Linked DNA regions of Cricetulus griseus. The protein of the gene in region 2 interacts with the protein of the main gene of each other region in a pairwise test. Links are inferred from orthologs where the notes say so. Each region holds a gene or a part of one and is shown on either strand. Other genes may lie near its edges. The genes, in order: Dusp1 and Mapk14.

Evidence for each region.
Region 1: the proteins of Mapk14 (region 2) and Dusp1 interact in binary tests that used the Homo sapiens proteins (3 or more experiments, as listed by UniProt). The link is inferred for Cricetulus griseus from reciprocal best matches to the Homo sapiens genes MAPK14 and DUSP1.

What each region holds. Positions count from the first base shown.
Region 1 is NC_048600.1:47,298,492-47,307,184, reverse strand, and holds Dusp1 (dual specificity protein phosphatase 1), read right to left. Parts: upstream 6,189-8,693; 5' UTR 6,019-6,188; coding exon 5,652-6,018; intron 5,423-5,651; coding exon 5,277-5,422; intron 4,916-5,276; coding exon 4,696-4,915; intron 4,344-4,695; coding exon 3,973-4,343; 3' UTR 3,299-3,972; downstream 1-3,298. UniProt on the Homo sapiens protein: Dual specificity phosphatase that dephosphorylates MAP kinase MAPK1/ERK2 on both 'Thr-183' and 'Tyr-185', regulating its activity during the meiotic cell cycle.
Region 2 is NW_023276806.1:233,798,307-233,806,999, forward strand, and holds the start of Mapk14 (mitogen-activated protein kinase 14), read left to right. Parts: upstream 1-4,674; 5' UTR 4,675-4,845; coding exon 4,846-4,961; intron 4,962-8,693. UniProt on the Homo sapiens protein: Serine/threonine kinase which acts as an essential component of the MAP kinase signal transduction pathway.

The DNA.
Region 1 (8,693 bases), on a different chromosome or scaffold from region 2:
AAATCCAAAAAACAAACAACAACAAAAAAAAGAGTTTGACAAGATACTGTCAAAATCTGGGACTTAAACACGGGTATAACTGACTCATGTGACCCTCTGTCCCCTGTCCACAGAGGGTCTGTTCAAAGCTCCAGTTTTGCTGCCCTGTGAGCTAAACCCCTTTTTCCCAGCTCACCATTCAGGCCTCGGTGTGGCTCATGACTCCTCTGAGCAACTTGTGCCTCAACAGCCACACCTGGCATGTCCTCTTTTTACCAACCCAGCTCCATAGCATCATCCGTATTCATAATCCACATCTCTTGTCTCCTTGCTGACACATGCATCCCCTTTGCTGCTTCTTACGAGCTAGTACTTTGTCTTGCGACAAACAGAGGTCTGTGGAGTATTCGGATGCTCTTGGCTGGCTGATCAATGAATGAGGCAATGGAAGAGTGGAACGGCTCTTAGCTTTAAAAGCTCATTAGAAGGTGGGGGTTTTTAGGTGCTTTCCTTAGCAGAACTTCTCTGCAAGTCAACCCTATGAGGCCAGTGCCATGAGGACCCTTTGTTCTCTCTGGAACAAAACCCAGTCCTGAGCTGACACAGTAGAACCCAGGCTGGGCTATACCAGGCTGTTCTTGAACAAACTTGTCCAGCACAGCCTCAGGAAAAAAAAAAAAAAAGTCCCCAGCGGTGGGCAGCCTTCCTACCTGCTCCCAGAATGCAACCTTTAGAGACAAACAGCCCCAGGTGACCAGGATCCACCCGCTAGGAGGTGTGGGAAAGCCAGCTCCAGCATAGCAGGCGGGGCCAGCAAACTGACATTGTTTGCCTCTGTATACAGCAACAGAAACCATGCAGCCAGCACTTCTCAGAGGCACCCCGCCCCCCTTCATTTTAATCTCCCAAACTGACTTGTCAGCAGCAGGAAGTGACATGACAGCTTTCCTCACAAAAGGGAAACTCCTCCGCTGTTACCATGGGGACTGAGGCCACTGCGGGATCACAGATTTATATAATCTTAAAGGTGTAGGCACCATGATGTCATCCTGGATACGCTGAGAGGGGGAAATGGATGCCAGAGGCTGCTAGTGCAAAACAAGGGAGCTTCAATTTGCAAAGTTCCCTGGAAAGGGAAGGAAAGGATACTGTGGAGGTGGTGGAGGCTGAAGTCTCATCTGATGGATGCCTGGAAACCACAGAAAAGCACAGAGCAGGCATCCATCATCCATGCCTTTTCCACAACCTGGAATTAAAGAGCTGGGATGAAACCAGCTCTTCAGATCCAGGGCAAACTGGTCATTTCATAGGGTGGGAAAACCAGACGTCATTGGGGACAAGGGGATCTAGTTGCTGCTCTACAGCCCTCAGTCAATACGCCAGTCACTCTTTGTTGCTTGGAGGAAGAAACTGGGGCCTTGAGGGGTATAGTTTTTCCACCCAAAAATTCAGGGGTAAAACCATGCAGAACACAGAAGGCTACAAAACTCTTGTTTAGCAACTTAGGCCAGTCTTCACTGAGACTCCAGCAAGACCATCTACTTATGGTAGAACACTGAATCTGCAGCCTTGCCTCCTCCTCTGGGAAATGGATGTGATGTTAAAGACTGTGAACACAAGCGAAACATGTGGTGGACCTTGGAACTCAGTGGCAGCCCCCAAACTGATAGCTGTCACTACTGGGTAAGCCTTAAGTAATTAAGTAGGGTCCATATCAACTCTCTCTGGGAAACTAATATTTTAATACTTTCTTTTCATCCTGACATACTGATTTTTGTCCCAAGCATGATGTTTTCTAGAGGACCTGAGCAAAGGTGACCTGTGAGAGGGGTAGCTTCTTGTCTGGGCTGTGAGGTGAGCAGCTAGAAAGTCAAGAAGTGAGTGAATTGTTTTCCCTGGCAGCTCCCTGAGGTAGCCTCTGTATTTTTCCATTGACTGGATCACACTGGAGACTAATTTGGGTTCAGCCAGTGACTGCCAAGTTGAAAGCAGAGACTCTGGCCCACGGGAAAGGCAGTCTCCGAATCTGCCACGGAATCGCCATTGCTGGTACATTTCCACGCAGGGAACAATTCACAATAGCAAATATCTAGGGCTTGATAAAAATAATGCATCTGGTTTGTTTTGAAGGCATGAATATACTTGTCCAAAACCCAGCCAAGGATATGAGCTTGCCAGCCCAGGATAAGTTTTTCTGTCTTAGAACACAAGGATCTTCAGACCTGGATGCCAAGTGGCAGGCAGGAAGAGGTCAAGGGCAAGTTCTGTGTCAAGGCTTGAACAATGGGTCTGCGTGAGGATCATGGCACCAGCCAATTCTAGAAAATATGGATGGGACGCTTCCTTTTCTACATAGAGCAGCACTTACTCTACAAATAGGAGGCAGAAAAGTGGGCACACAGGGGCCAGGAACCCAAGGGCTTTGCTGTTATGCCATTTGACATTACAGACTGGATTTATGGGTTGGTATTCAATTATACCTTCCCAGCCTTAGCCTGCTTGGCAGGGGTGAAAATCCAGAGTCCTGCCCTAAAGCAAGTCTGACATAATTGCCTATGTCTTCAACACAGGTATGTAGAGTAGCAAGTGATCTGAAGGAGACAGTTGCCAAAAATGTTGTTTCTATGCAGAGGTTGGTATGCACACCCTCCAAAAACTAGCAGGGGAGGTGCAAGTAATTTCTTCCCTGTACATGCATTTAGTACTTGGATTTGTTTTTCATTTGATGCATTATTTTTAAAGCTATAAAAGCATTGTCCAAAGCAAACTGACTATATGTTATAGACAAGTGACAAAGTTCACAGGTCATAGGATTAGAAAACAAAATGCAGTGCCTAATCCCCTGATCCAGCTGCTCAGCTACTTGGAGCCTCACATCCTCACCTGTACAGCACCAGAGTCTCTCTGAGGAGAGGCTAATCCCATGCTGTGCATACACATTAAGAACACATTAACCTGGGCATTCTGCAAATAGCTCAGGGAGGGGAGATCTTGTCCATGATTCCCAACGATGTTAATGAAAAAAAAAAGTTAATTAAGGCAAATGGTTCTGGGGACACTCGAGCTCCTGGGGTGACATGGCAGATGATGTTGACTGTTGGTACACCTTGACCCTATACTAAGATCTGGGTAACAGCCCCTAGTATTTCATACACTTCACCTGCATGCCTCTGTGGCAACCTAGTCATCTTGTGGAACCCATGGGTCACCAAAGAGGTACAGGATCAGACCCCACACACATCCTAGCAGTGCTGGTTCAATTTTTCACTATGATACTTGCTCAAGAGTAGGGTTGCCAAAGAAACGAATCATCAAGAGCTCAATAGAAACGTCATAATTTATTCTGTTGTATAAAAAAAAGTCATCCTAGTAACAAAATGTCTTCTTAGAAGAAGAAATATATTACTTCAGGTCATAAATAATCAGCAAACATACAACTGTTGACAACTAAAAACTACAAACCAACACCGGTTTTGTCCACCAGTGTTGAAACCAAACCTGCCCTGGGTCTATTTACAAGATAGTACAGTACGCAAACACAAAAATTGAGGTATTTGGTTCTTCTATGAGTAGACACTGACATTTGTGAAGGCAGACCACCTACACAAAAATAAATAAGGTAAAATTCTCATACGTGTATGTCGTCGGGAATGGTTAATACTGGTAGGTATGTCAAGCATGAAGTTTCTAGAAAAAAAAAAAATGGGCAAGTGAAGAAACTGGCTCAGAGTCCTTTCTCTTCTGCCCTGCTTTGTCAGAGGGACTTGATGTACCCACAACATATTGGACCCGAATGCTGAGTTCAGCAAATGTCTTGCAGTAGTCATTATTATGACTGCTTAGGAACCCAGTGGAACTCGGGAGGGGAGGGGGTAGGGCTTAAATAAATAAGGACCAGCTCAAATGAGTCTCTCCCAGAGTTATTGCATTGCTCCTCCCATGGGAGGAGTGGCGTCCCGGTGGCACGAGAATATCCACACCTCCCCTGGCCCTTCAGCAGCTGGGGGAGGTCGTGATGGGGCTCTGAAGATAGTTCAGGGCACTGTTCGTGGGGTGGACGGGGATGGAGACGGGGAAGTTGAAGACAGTGGTGGTGGAGGTGCCCCGGTCAAGGACAGCCATGGCAGGACTCCCAGCTTCAGCAGAGCAGTGCGGGGCCAGCACCTGGGACTCAAATTGCAGCAGCTGGCCCATGAAGCTAAAGTTAGGAGAGATGATACTCCGCCTCTGCTTCACAAATTCAAAGGCCTCGTCCAGTTTCACTCGGTTAGTCCTCATGAGGTAAGCAAGGCAGATGGTGGCTGACCGGGAGATGCCGGCCTGGCAATGGACAAATACTCTCCCTCCAGCATCCTTGATGGAGTCTGGAAAACAAAGTGGTGGGTTACTCAAAAATTCAGGAGACCAGCCCAAGCCCAGGTCAAATGTCTAAGAAATGTCTCGTGTGACCTGTCCAGATATGGCTAAGGATCAGCTTCGTGCTATCATATGGACTTCGTATGTGCATTGTGTAAGGGATAGCAAGGGATTTAAACCCAGACTAGGTATTTCCACTTATAATCCTGGGCAAGTCAGTCAGTTCAGCTATCTGAGTCTGGCTTTGCTACTCGTGAGGAAGAAGGCTCAGGTGAGGGTCAATCAAGCCATCACCCAAGAGGCTGGACTCAATGGTTACAGTGAGGACAGAAAGCAGAAGTCCCAGACACCTTCATTTACCTATGAAGTCAATTGCCTCGTTGAACCAGGAGCTGATGTCAGCCTTGTGGTTGTCCTCCACAGGAATGCTCTTGTACTGGTAGTGACCCTCAAAGTGGTTAGGACAATTGGCCGAGACGTTGATCAAGGCAGTGATGCCCAAGGCGTCAAGCATGTCCTTCCGGGAAGCATGATAGGCACTGCCCAGGTACAGGAAGGACAGGATCTCCACTGGGCCCCCCTGGAATCCAAAAACAGTCCAGCATTCATCAAGCTTGTTCAGAGTTAACAGAGTACCCACACCCACAAAAACTCCCTACTGAAAAAGGGAGTTTCAGACACTGGTGACCTCAGCATAGACGGCATATTAAAATAATAATAAAGAATTAGGTCCATTGGCTTGGACAGAGCCAACAAGCTCTTATATGCCAGCAACTGGGAGACTCAGCTCCATCCAATCGCTTCACTGTGGAATAAAAATTCCCATGTCCCCTCAAGTATAACTAAAGCTGCAGCCACTTTCTGTATTCTCCCTGACACAGCCCTTCCAGACCTCTGCCACCCCCTCCCACCCCCCCACATAGACGGGGACTCTTACTAACCTGATCGTAGAGAGGGGTGCTACAGGAGCTGCATCCGGATTCTGCGCTGTCAGGGACACTAGTACTCAGGGGGAGGCTGAGCCCCATGGGGGTGGACTGTTTGCTGCACAGCTCGGGGCAGGAAGCCGAAAACGCTTCATATCCTCCTGAGAACACAAAGGAACACATTTTCCCATTAGCATCACCGACACAGTACCTGGAGACAAGTCACCCACCCACCAGAGGATGCGAGTTTACATAGAAGGCTCAGGGAAGTCTTTGTTCCTGGAGCCAAACAAAGCCAGTGACAAGTCCCTGGAGACTGGACACGGGCACTCCAGGTGGGACGACCCTTTCCCAGCTAATGGCAGAGGTCCTGCCAGAACGAGCGCGTACCTTGGAGGAAGAAGACTTGAGTGGTGCGTGCTTCTCGGCAGAGCGCGCCCGCAGCTAGGGCTAGGGTGCCGTCGCGCTTGGCGCCCTCCAGGGCGACGCTGCGCTCGTCCAAAAGCACCACTGCGTGGTAGGCGCCGGCCAGCAGGCGGCCGCGCAGCTCGGCGTTGGGCACGATATGCTCCAGGCCCATGGCGCCCTTGGCGCGGCGCCGCACGATGGTGCTAAAGCGCACGTTCACCGAGCCCGCGATGTGGCCGGCGTTGAAGGCGAAGAAGGAGCGGCAGTCCAGCAGCAGGCACTGCGCAGCGCGCTCTCGCAACAACGCGCGCAGCCCTCCGGCGTCCAGGATGCCCACCTCCATCACCATGGCCAGCCCCAGCGACCCCAGCGTGCCCGTCCCGCGGCCCTCCAAAAACAATCTGTCGGTCCGACGCGGTATCCTTGTGGCCCTAAGTCCCCAAGTGCTCGCTGCTCTGAATCTAGTTTCACTGTGCGTCCCGCCCGCCAGTCCTTCGCTGCGCGCTCAGCTCTGGGAGCGCGGTTTTATGTGGCCTCTCGGGGGCGGTCCCGGGCGCGGCGCCGGAGGAGGGGGAACGGTTTGTTTGTTTGAATGGCGATCACGTGACATGTTGGTGACGTCACCCACCCTGCCGGGCTTGGCGCCGCCGAAGCCAAAGGCAAAGACGTCATCGGCCTGGGAGCGGGTCGGCTTTGCACGCTGGCTCACCGCCCGGCCCCCACCCTGCTGTCCGCCGGCCCCGCTGGCAGGACTGCGCGCTGCCAGCCCGGGTGGTCAGGACGCGCGGCCTAAGGACACGCCCGGGGACACCTGCCCGGCTCCCCTCCCCGGGTCTCCGCCGAGAGCGTAGGAGCACTGCTGGGACTACGGTCTCAACTGGTCCTGCTCCCGCTGTTGGGGTATTGGCCCGGGCGAGCGGAGCGGGGAAGGGGAAGGGGTAGAGAGAGGTGATCAACTCGGTAAACCCTGTGGCTTTACAGAGGACAAATGGCAAGAGTCGAGGCGTCCTTCTCTAGTGTCACTTTAAACTGTTTTACGACGAACATGGGAAAGTACCTCCAGGCAGCCCCCTACCAGAATGTTATCCCTGCCGCGGTGGTCTTTAGAGGACTTGGAGCCAAGAATGGAAGGGTTGAAAGATCGGGTGTGGAGCCCAGGTTTGGCATTTGGGGCGATCTGGACAGGGCTCGACAGCGCCGCCCAGGGACCACCAAGCACTTTGTAGCGTGGCTCCAGAGGTTGCTGCTCCCCGACTCCTCCTCATGCGCGCGCGCGTGCGCGTGCGGGTACAAACAACTTTTGTTTTGTTTTGAGACAGGGTGTTGTTTTGTAGCCCTGGCTGGCATTGAACTCACAGAGATCCTCCTGCCCCTGCCTCGCCAGTGCTGAGGTTAACGGCATGCACCCCCAAACCTGGCTCTTCATCTGTATTGAACAGAAGCTGGGCGCACTAACGACCCATGGCTGGGGCCTTGGAATCCGCTCCTATGGAGGCCAAACTCTACCCGACAAACCCAGGTCCTGGTAATCCAGAGTGGCTGAACTCCTAATCCAATCCCAAGGCGCCTTAGGAGTATTGCCAAGACCTGTACCTTGGCACCCAGGAAGACCCCAATGGGGTCTGTGTCCTTTCCCCAAATTGGGGCCGGGAGCCCCAACCACGACACCACGGAGTTGGATACATAAACATAAACATTGCACCACTCCGCAGGGGCGCCGAGTCAGGAACATTCTGCGGTTTCTTCCTCTCTACTAGGGGGAGGTGTATTACCGGTCACCAAATGTTGTTGCTCTGCAACGTCTGTCCACTTTGGCCTCCCCTAGCTCTTGCGTTCTGCCTAGATTCTTTGTAAATTCGGGGTACTTTATTTTTGAAGGGCATTTTACCTTCCTATGAGCCTTGATCTAAAAGAGCAGCAAAGGAGTCAGATAACACCACCCTCCCTGCATCTCAGCGACAGAAAGAAAAAAAAATTATTTATTCCACTTATTCAGCTGAGAACCTCAACATATTTTTGTGTTGAATCATAAAATGTTACAGCTGCTGCTGTTACGAACTGCATACCAACTTCATTTTTTCATATATATATATATATATATATATATATATATATATATATCAAGGCTATCCATTGTATCTTTCTATATCCAAAGTTTTCTAAACGACCTATTTATACAAATGCAGTGGCATGGTCTGGTACTGAAGTTAAATGTCTGCTGGTCCCCGTGGAGTTCTGCTCTCTTCCCTCCCTGGAAGAAGCATAAAAAGTGGGCTGGAACCCGGGGGAAAGTTGACTGTTGGAGAGCCAGCCGTTCTCTTTTCTGTTGAGCCTTCAAGGCAGTATCTGTACAATGGATACCATGCAGCATGGCTTGGTGACATTCCCTTGTAAAGCAGGAGGGGCAGGACACTGGGACCTTTCCCCTCCTGAGTCACTGACTCTGTTTTTCCCCTTCCCGGCTGTGATTCTTATATCATGAGGCCCCCTGGGCTGTGTGTTTCAGAATCTGGCATCAGAGCCTTAGCTGGTATCTTCAGGTGGGTCTTGAGAGACTCCTAGAAGCCTCAACTGGTTGGAGCTCCAGCTGAGAGAAAGCTCTTGTGTACCACAAGGGACTTATTCTAGGATCCACTTGTTCAGAAAGAGTTAGCAAAGGTCTAGCCACCCAAGGTCCCAGTCCAGGCAGTGAGAATGCCCTGGTGACAGGGAGCAGAACCAGATAGGCTTCTTTCAGCAGAGTTGGAAGGGTAAGCAGCTTGTGCTATGTGCTTAGCTGCTGAGGGCCCAGAGCAGGTGAGTCAGTAGATGTGAACTCTGGGAGAGGCTGGGCCTCACTGGCCTGAGAACTTCATAATTCCAGGTGTGCTTAGAACAACTCTACAGGAAGGTGGGGTGGGAAAAAGCCGCCAAAAGTCTTAGCCTGCCTCCCCTCTTTCTGTGTGTCTCATCAGTCACTTCACCTTGCTGCACCTCCCTGTGACTGTGGAGAAGAGCATCAGTTTCTATCTGGGTCCGGTGGGG
Region 2 (8,693 bases):
TAGGGACAGGTTAGTAGGTCATTTGGAAAAAACAGGAAAGAATGAAACCAACCGACCAACCCAACAAGCAAAGCCATGGAGCAAAGGTGGAGAGACAGGTGGAATGCTGCCTGTAATGTCTGGTCATATGTCTGCCTGAAGCACCCAGGGCAAACACATGACTTCTTTATTAGTTTCGTTAGAAGTCTCAGGAATTGCTCCAACTCCGTGACTCTCTGTATATGTGTTTGTGTGTGTGCATGTATGTGTGTGGTGTATGTGTGTCTGTGGCGTGTGTGTGTGTGTGTATGCATGTGTGGGGTGTATGTGTGTCTGTGGTTTGTGTGTGTGCATGTATGTGTGTGGTGTATGTGTGTCTGTGGCGTGTGTGTGTGTGTGTGTGTGTGTGTGTGTGTGTGTGCGCGCATGCATGTGTGGGGTGTATGTGTGTCTGTGGTGTTTTGTGTGTGTGCATGCATGTGTGGGGTGTATGTGTGTCTGTGGTGTGTTGTGTGTGTGCATGCATGCGTGTGGTGTATGTGTGTCTGTGGCATGTTTGTGTATGTGCATGCATGTGTGGGGTGTATGTGTGTCTGTGGTGTGTTTGTGTGTGTGCATGCATGTGTGGGGTGTATGTGTGTCTGTGGCGTGTTTGTGTGTGTGCAGGCGTGTGTGTGTGTGTGTGTGTGTGTGTGTGTGTGTGTGTGTGTGCATGTGTGGGATGTATGTGTGTCTGTGGTGTGTTGTGTATGTGCATGCATGCGTGTGGTGTATGTGTGTCTGTGGCATGTTTGTGTGTGTGCATGCATGTGTGGGGTGTATGTGTGTCTGTAGTGTGTTGTGTGTGCATGCATGCGTGTGGTGTATGTGTGTCTGTGGCATGTTTGTGTGTGTGCATGCATGTGTGGGGTGTATATGTGTGTCTGGTGTGTTTGTGTGTGTGCATGCATGTGTGGGGTGTATGTGTGTCTGTGGTGTGTTTGTGTGTGTGCATGCATGTATGGGGTGGGCACAGCGGCAGCGGCGGCAATAGCAGCAGCAGCGTGACTCTGGTACAGAGCAGCATATAAGGGTGCTATGATCTAAGCTAGTTATCTTGCTGGTCTTGGCTTTTTTAGTTTTTGAGACAGGATTTCACATAGTCTAGGGGGCCTTGAACTCCAATCCTCCTGCCCTATCAACCAAATGCTGAGATTACAGATGTATGTCATCATTCATGCCTTAATTCTTTTTTTTTTTTTTTCTTTTTGTGGTGGGAATGCACTTGAAGGCCTCACATGCTAGGATGCTCTACCCTGAGCTGTGGTCCCAGCCTTTAATTATCTTTAATCAGGCTCTCACTGCTACATTTAGAACACTATATTAAAACACAAGCACTTTAACCCAGCTCTTTCACAACTTCCACTGTCCTTATCCATCCATCCATCCACTGATTGATTCAAAGAATCTCCATTTGGAATATTTAAATGCAAAAAAAAAAAAGGTAGCCTGATATATAAGACCCAACAGACAAGAAGCCATGAAAACTAAGGTGTGAGAATGTCTTTCACTGATATAGTCATCTTTCAAGTTTCCTGTACCATTAGGCAAAGTTCACTTCCAATTTTTAAAAACAAGCGTGTGTCCAGGCGTTGGTGGTGCCGCCTTTAATCCCAGCACTCGGGAGGCAGAGTCAGGCGGATCTCTGTGAGTTCCAGGACAGCCTGGTCTACAGAGCCAGTGCCAGGACAGGCTCCAAAGCCACAGAGAAACCCTGTCTCGAAAAACCAAAACCAAAAATACAAAACAAACAAACAAACAAACAAAAACCAAAAACAAGCGTGTGTAATCCCAACCAAAACTACTCATTGCCTGTGACTCTCTCAGTTTTGATGGAGACTGTGCAGGATATGGCAAAGGTGTCAGCAAACTCCGTTGTGTAGTGGCAGGAGATAAGTGAAGGTGACAGCCCTCCAGCTGCTGACCACAGGTCACATAAACACCGGACACCTTCCTTTAGTGTTGCCAAGGGACAGATACTCATCACTGGGCAGAATGGAGAAGGCAAGCGGGGGCCCAATGCATAATCCATAAATAGGGATTTGACTGGAAGACAGACAAGGGGGAGAAGGGTGGAGCGCAAGATTCCGCCAGGCAGAACAAGGTGAGCAAAAGCAGTGAGGTTTGAAAGGATAAGGAGTCCTGGGCTGAGGCCCCGTGAGGACAGAAGGGATGGAAGTGGGGAGAGGCCCACAGACAATGAGAGGAGAGAACTTTGAGAGGACCCGGCCTGCAAAACCCACTTTGTCTCCTGCTGCTGTTTCAGGCTGCCTTTCTATCCCAGAGAGACGTTCCAGGGACTACCTCCACCCCTCCTTCCCTCCCTCCCTCCCTCCCTCCCACCCCCTCCATCCCTTCCACCCCTCCCTCCCTCCTTCCTACCCACCACCCCTCCCTCCCTCTCTCACCCCTCCCTCCACCATCCACCCACCCCCTCCCTCCCTCCCTCCCTCCCTCCTCCCTCCTCCCTCCCTCCCTCCCTCCCTTCATCCACCCATCATCCATCCATCCACTCGTAGCGCAAACAATCCAGAGTGCCCAGGACCCTCTGGGCCCTGCAGGTGACCCCACCAGCCCCGCCCTGGGACGCTCCGCTGCCTCTGGGCTCCCGGGCTGCAGCCAGAGCTCCCGATGGCTCCGGACCGAGGCTCACCTGGTTCCCGGTGGCGGGCGGGAGTCGCAGACGCTGGGGTCAGACTGGCTGGAGGCGGACGGACGCGGAGGCCGGCAGTTCCGAGCCGTTGCTGCAGAACCCGCGGGCGTTCCGGGGGTGCGGCGGGTGACGCGCAGGCTGGCGTGGACGGCACCCGGGCCAGGAGAAGGGTACCCGGCTGCGCAGCACACCCGGGCCGCGGGCACCCTGGGCATCCTCGGAAACGGCCTCTCCTCTGCTCAGACGAACGCAGAGAGGCGCGCACGGTCACGTTTATCTTCAGCTTCCAAGACGGGGGGATGCTTGACCTCTCGTGGGAAGTCGAGCCGGGGCCTCAGGTCAGCAGGTTTGTCTCCAAGCTGCGCTGCCAGAACTCGCTGCCCCGTTCCCCATGCGCCCGGGCGGGGATTAAGTCTTTAAAATTCTCTGAGTTCACATTCTTAGGAGTCTCCAAAGTTTCCTTTAAATCTCTACAGTCGGGATGGTTCTCATGGGCAGGAGTCAGGCTCAAACCCCAGGAATGGGTTTTGGGTGTTTCAGAAAAGCAGCCCAGGCTGCCTGCTAGCTACTCATTGCACAGCAGAGGCTGGGCTTCCTTCCAACTGCTGGGGTCACAGAGAGTAATAAATATATATTTATTACATTTATTTATTACATATATATATTTATTACATATATACATATATATTACATATATATAAATATATATAAATAAAATATATATAGTGTGTGTAAAATATTCATATACATTATATTCATATATATATGGAAGAGGAGACCTTCCTGGAATACAATGACCTACCAGCATGTGTGTGTGCATGTGTGTGCGCACATACGTGTGGTGTGTGTGAGCATGTGGTGCATGTGTGTGCGCGCATACGTGTGTGTGCGTGTGTGTGCACGTGTGTGCGCGCACGTGTGCGTGTCTGTGTGTGCATGTGCGCGCGCGTGTGTGTCTGTGTGTGCATGTGCGCGCGCATGTGTGTGTGTGTGGTGTGTGCATGTGTGTGCGTGCATACGTGTGTGTGCATTGTGTGCGCGCATACGTGTGTGTGTGCATGTGTGTGTGTGTGTGTGCATGTGTGTGCGCGCATGGGTACATACGTCCCTGTCCCTTCCAGCACAGGAATCGAACCCAGGACCTCGCAAATGCTACGCAGGCCCCGAGCCCGGCCGGCCCGGCCCCTGGAATTTGCTTCTGAAACGTCCAGGGCGGCTCTTCAGCCTGAGAAAACTGAAGGGGGCTCCTGGGCGTCTGGAGGGGCGGCCTGGGCTCCGGGGCAGGGGCAGCGAGCGTCCGTCCATCAGTCCGTCCGTCTGTCCGTCCGTCCGTCCCTGGGCAGCCAGGGGCCGGCAGCTTTGCCGCCCTGGCGCCAGCGCTCGCCCAGCCGACCACAGCGAGGCGCGCGCGGCACGCGCTGCGCCCTCCCCGTCCGCCCCGCGCTCCTCCCCGCGCTCCTCCCCGCGCTCCTCCTCTCCGTCCGCCCCGCGCTCCTCCCCGCGCTCCTCCCCGCGCTCCTCCTCTCCGTCCGCCCCGCGCTCCTCCCCGCGCTCCTCCTCCCCGTCCTCCTCCGCCCCGCGCTCCTCCGCGCGCTCCTCTCTCCCGTCCGCCCCGCGCTCCTCCCCGCGCTCCTCCTCCGTCCTCTCCATCCTCCCCGCGCTCCTCCTCCGAGAGCCCCTGCCCCGAAGCCCTGCCAGCCCCGCCCGCTCCGTGTTCTCGCGAGAGGCGCCGCCTCCGGCGCGCTCGCAGCGGCCCCTCCCACGGGCGGGTTCCGTATTGGGTAAGATCCCGGCGGGGCGGGGCGGGGCGGTCGGACGGGGCGGGGCCGTGGGCGCGGGCGGGACGGGGCGTTGTTCTCGCGAGACTTCCGCGAGAGGCTCCGGTCGTTGCCGGGAGGAGCGCGGCGGCCGGAGCCAGCCCACGGGAGCCCGGGCGGGCGGGCGGCGCTGCAGCGCTGCGAGCGGGAGTCGTGCGGCGTCGGCGCGGCGCGGCTGCAGCGCAGCGGCGGGAGCAGCCTCGAGCCGCACAGCCGGCTCCCGCGCGTGCCCGCGGCTCTGACAGGGGCCGCGGCGTCCAGCCAGCCCCGCGCGGGCGAGCGGCGGGCGAGCGGCGGGCGAGCGCCGAGGACAGACAGCGTGCGGCTGCAGGCAGCGGCCCCGGCCGCCGCTGGAAGATGTCTCAGGAGAGGCCCACGTTCTACCGGCAGGAGCTGAACAAGACCATCTGGGAGGTGCCCGAGCGCTACCAGAACCTGTCCCCGGTGGGCTCGGGCGCCTACGGCTCGGTGTGGTGAGTGTCGCCGGGCCTGGGGTCCGGGGACGCCGGAGCCGGCGGGGCGGCCCTGCCTGCGTGCCTGCGTGCGAGCCTCCGTGCGTGCGAGCGTGCGAGCCTGAGGCCCGGCCTGTGCCCGCGGCTCCGCGATGCGCCCAGCGGCAGGAATTCTGCCCCGGCCGGGCCCTGCACCCCTCACTCACCCACCCGGGTGCAGCCGCGCGGGCTCCACCCTGCGCCCCTCCCGGGCTCCCTCCGCAGCCCCGCAGCCCCGGGAGAGCGGGCGAGCCAGCCGGGCGGAGCCTCTGCGAGGAGCGGCAGGGCACACAGCCTGACCCCGCGACTGCGGTCACCGGAACGAAACTTGCAAGAAAAAAAAAAAAAAAGCGCTCCCTTCCCGGATTTTTGTTTTTGTTTTTTCCTTTTTCTTGCAAGACTCCATCTGGAGGGGGGACAAATCTGGCTCCGGAAGCGTTCTTTGGGAATTAGCACATGAATTAGCAGCACCCCGAAGAGCCTAGAATGCTGACTTTATCTCGGCGAGCGCGGTGCCAGCTTGCGTGCTGTGTTTCCGATTCGGTTGAAAGCGTATTTCCTTTTCGGGGCGGGAGGGTGGCAGCGCCTGCAAGGACGCCACCGCTCGCCGCTTAGTCACACACCACTGCTCATTTCAGTGTTGCTCCACAAATCAGTTTTCCCATGCGGGCCACAGGGACTCCAGATCAAGTGATCGGAGGTGTAAATAGCTTTTTAGTTGAAATAATTCCTGGGATGCTTTTCTTTAAGTCCCTTTGAAGATTTGTAGGGGCGCGCTATCAGCTTGCTTTTTTTTTTTTTTTCCCAGGGCTGAGGGACGTGGCTTTGGTGAGAGCAAAGGAAACAATGTTTCTCAGCTGTCATTCACACCGTGATTCTTGATTCTTTGTTGTTCATTTGAGACTTTGTATGTCCCTGGCTGCCCTGAACTTCACTCTTCTGGCTGGCCTGGAATAAAGGCTTTTACCACCTTTGCAAGGCCCTGGGAGTGGGTTTCAAATTAAATCCATACTATAAAATATCCACTCCAGAAGTGATTAGGAACTCTCCAGGGTTCATACAGTGTCTTTTAGGCTTAGTGTCTTCTTAGAGCTCTGGTTCTTGAGGTTCAACAGCTTAGCTCTTCACGTGCTTTAGTAATTTATATACACTCCTGTTTTCGAAGGTTTGTGAAATGGTTTGTTTTGTAACAAATTCCAGGGTTCTGCATGTGTTAATCTTTAGGTATGAGTCCTGTGTTACTTAAAGTCACACCATGAATTTCCTGTTTGGTAGAACCTTCTGGGTAATTGAGATTGTGCAATAGTGTCCAGCAACAGATCATATTGCATTTGTTGGCGCAAGCTGCTTAAGTTATGTTGCAGATGGCACCAACCCTGACGTCTTTCTCCCATGTCTACAGAATGGCAGTTCACACATCTGTCATGTGTATTTGCGACTGTTATCTTCATTCTCTAATATTTAATAGCTCATTAGCATACCTCAGTCCGTCATTCCTAATTGTTAGAGTATCAGGCTTTGCTTTCCATTTGAATGTTCAGGGAGTGGTGAAACAGAGTATCTCCACTGTAGGCCATCTGGGTGGGTGAACTTGCAAGGTTTCCTATGGACACTGCTGTCCTGGCCGAAGAGCCAGGTTTGCAATGAAGTTCAGTGGTGAAGTGCCATTAAAACTACGCTCACTTCCTCTGGTGCTGTTCTTTTCTATGAAATAGAATTCAGCACCACCTCACAGTTGGAAAGGACTTGTACCAAACAGCTTCTTAAAAGTAGGTGATACAGGGCAGGGCGGTGGTGGCACACACCTTTAATCCCAGCACTGGGGAGGCTGAGGCAGGCGGATCTCTGTGAGTTCGAGGCCAGCCTGGTCTCCAGAGCGAGTGCCAGGATAGGCTCCAAAGCTACACAGAGAAACCCTGTCTTGGTCTTGAAAAACCAAAAAAAGTATGTGATACAGGACCAGTGATGTAACTCATACTACAGCCCCTGGTCTTGCATATGGGAGGCCCTGCATTCCATCCCCAGCAATACACAAACAACACAAAGCAACTCATTAGCAACTCATTATGTATAAAATGTAAAAAGGTATGCAGCAGGAAGCCTTCTGTTTCTGTTCCCCAGCCCTGTTTTCTCTTCCTTCAGTGACAACCGCTATTCGGTTCCTTGCATGTCTTTTTCAGAGACGAAGAGTTTGTACCAGAGATGTAAGGTGTAGCCTATAACCTGTCGATGGGGGAAAAGACAGCTGAAATTGTACATGATGACTGAGCAAATAACTCTCTCAAGTTATTTGAAGCTGGGTTTTTTTTTTTTTGAGGATTTATTTATTTTATATATGTGTGGGTATTTTGCTTACACACATATATGTGCACCCCATGAATGCTTGGTGCCATGGAGACCCTGGAACTGGAGTTACAGACAGTTGTGAGCTGCCATGTGGGTGATGGGAATTGAACCTGGGTCCTCTACAGGAGCACTGACCACTGAATCATTTCTTCAGGCCTAAAGTTGTGTTTTCAGTTAGCTTTTTGGGTACAACTGAAAACACCTTTTGAATTTCTTTCTTTTCTTTTTCTCCATCCCCCTCCCCCGCCCCCAAGACAGGATTTCTCTGTGTAGCCCTGGCTGTCCTGGGACTCTCTCTGTAGACCTGGCTGGCCTCAAACTCACAGAGATCCACCTGCCTCTCTGCCTGACTAGGAGAATTAAAGGTGTATGCCACCATGCCTGACTTCTTGAAATTCTTTTTTAACCCACTTGGTGGCTTGTGTTCCCATTCTCCACTCTGATCCTCCGAGACAGTTTGATATCGGAAAACAGTGATGTCCATTTGAATGCAAGTGACTGAGGGGGATTCAGACTGAAGCCTTGAAAGGAGAGAAGGCAGTCCAGTTGGCAACACTGGGTTACACTTATAATATCACAGCATTTTTTAATATGGCTTATTGAGCTGGCCCTGAGGTCTCTGGATAAAGGAATCTTGGTATGGGACATGGTACACTTTGATGTGTAGCGCTTTTTTTTTTAAGCTCAAGCCTATATTTTAATTTGCACTATGTAGTGAACAGCAGTGACAAAAAAGTAGCGCTCTGTATTGTGCAGTAACCAACTATGAATCAAAGATCAATGAAAGACCAGAAAGTTGAGGGCTGATAGAGCTACACAGTATCTTTCTTTCAAAAAGAGCAAAAGGAACTAAACTAAGTCTTCAAGTTTAAGGAACTTTGTTCATTGTCTGTAGAGGGAAATGAAGCAAAATTGTCTAAGACCACATTGTTGCAATGCATTGATTTTGTGGTTTGGGACATAGGGGAAAATCTCTGTGGTGAATTTAAGGAAATACAAACAGGAACTTCGGTGCCTTCCCTCTGGGGAAGGGGTCTTTCTAGGCCCTTGCTGAGCACACTTGGACACTGCATTGGGAGTGAGGATTGAGAGTCACTTCCAGATCATCTGTAGCCATTTGTTCGTCAGTATTTATTACATACCACCAAGTAGTGGCTGGGTGCAGAAGACAGTTCGCTTTGTCATCGGACTTGCAGAGGAATGAGTTTAATGGTTACATTTTACCGGTTGCTTACTGTGTTGTAGGCATGGTAATGTACAACTTATGATTGTCATGTAAACATGTAACTAAACATGGTAAGTTCTTTTAAGAAACCAACAATTCAATGAGCTCTAGGACAAGATTTTTTCGAGTAAAAACAACAAAAA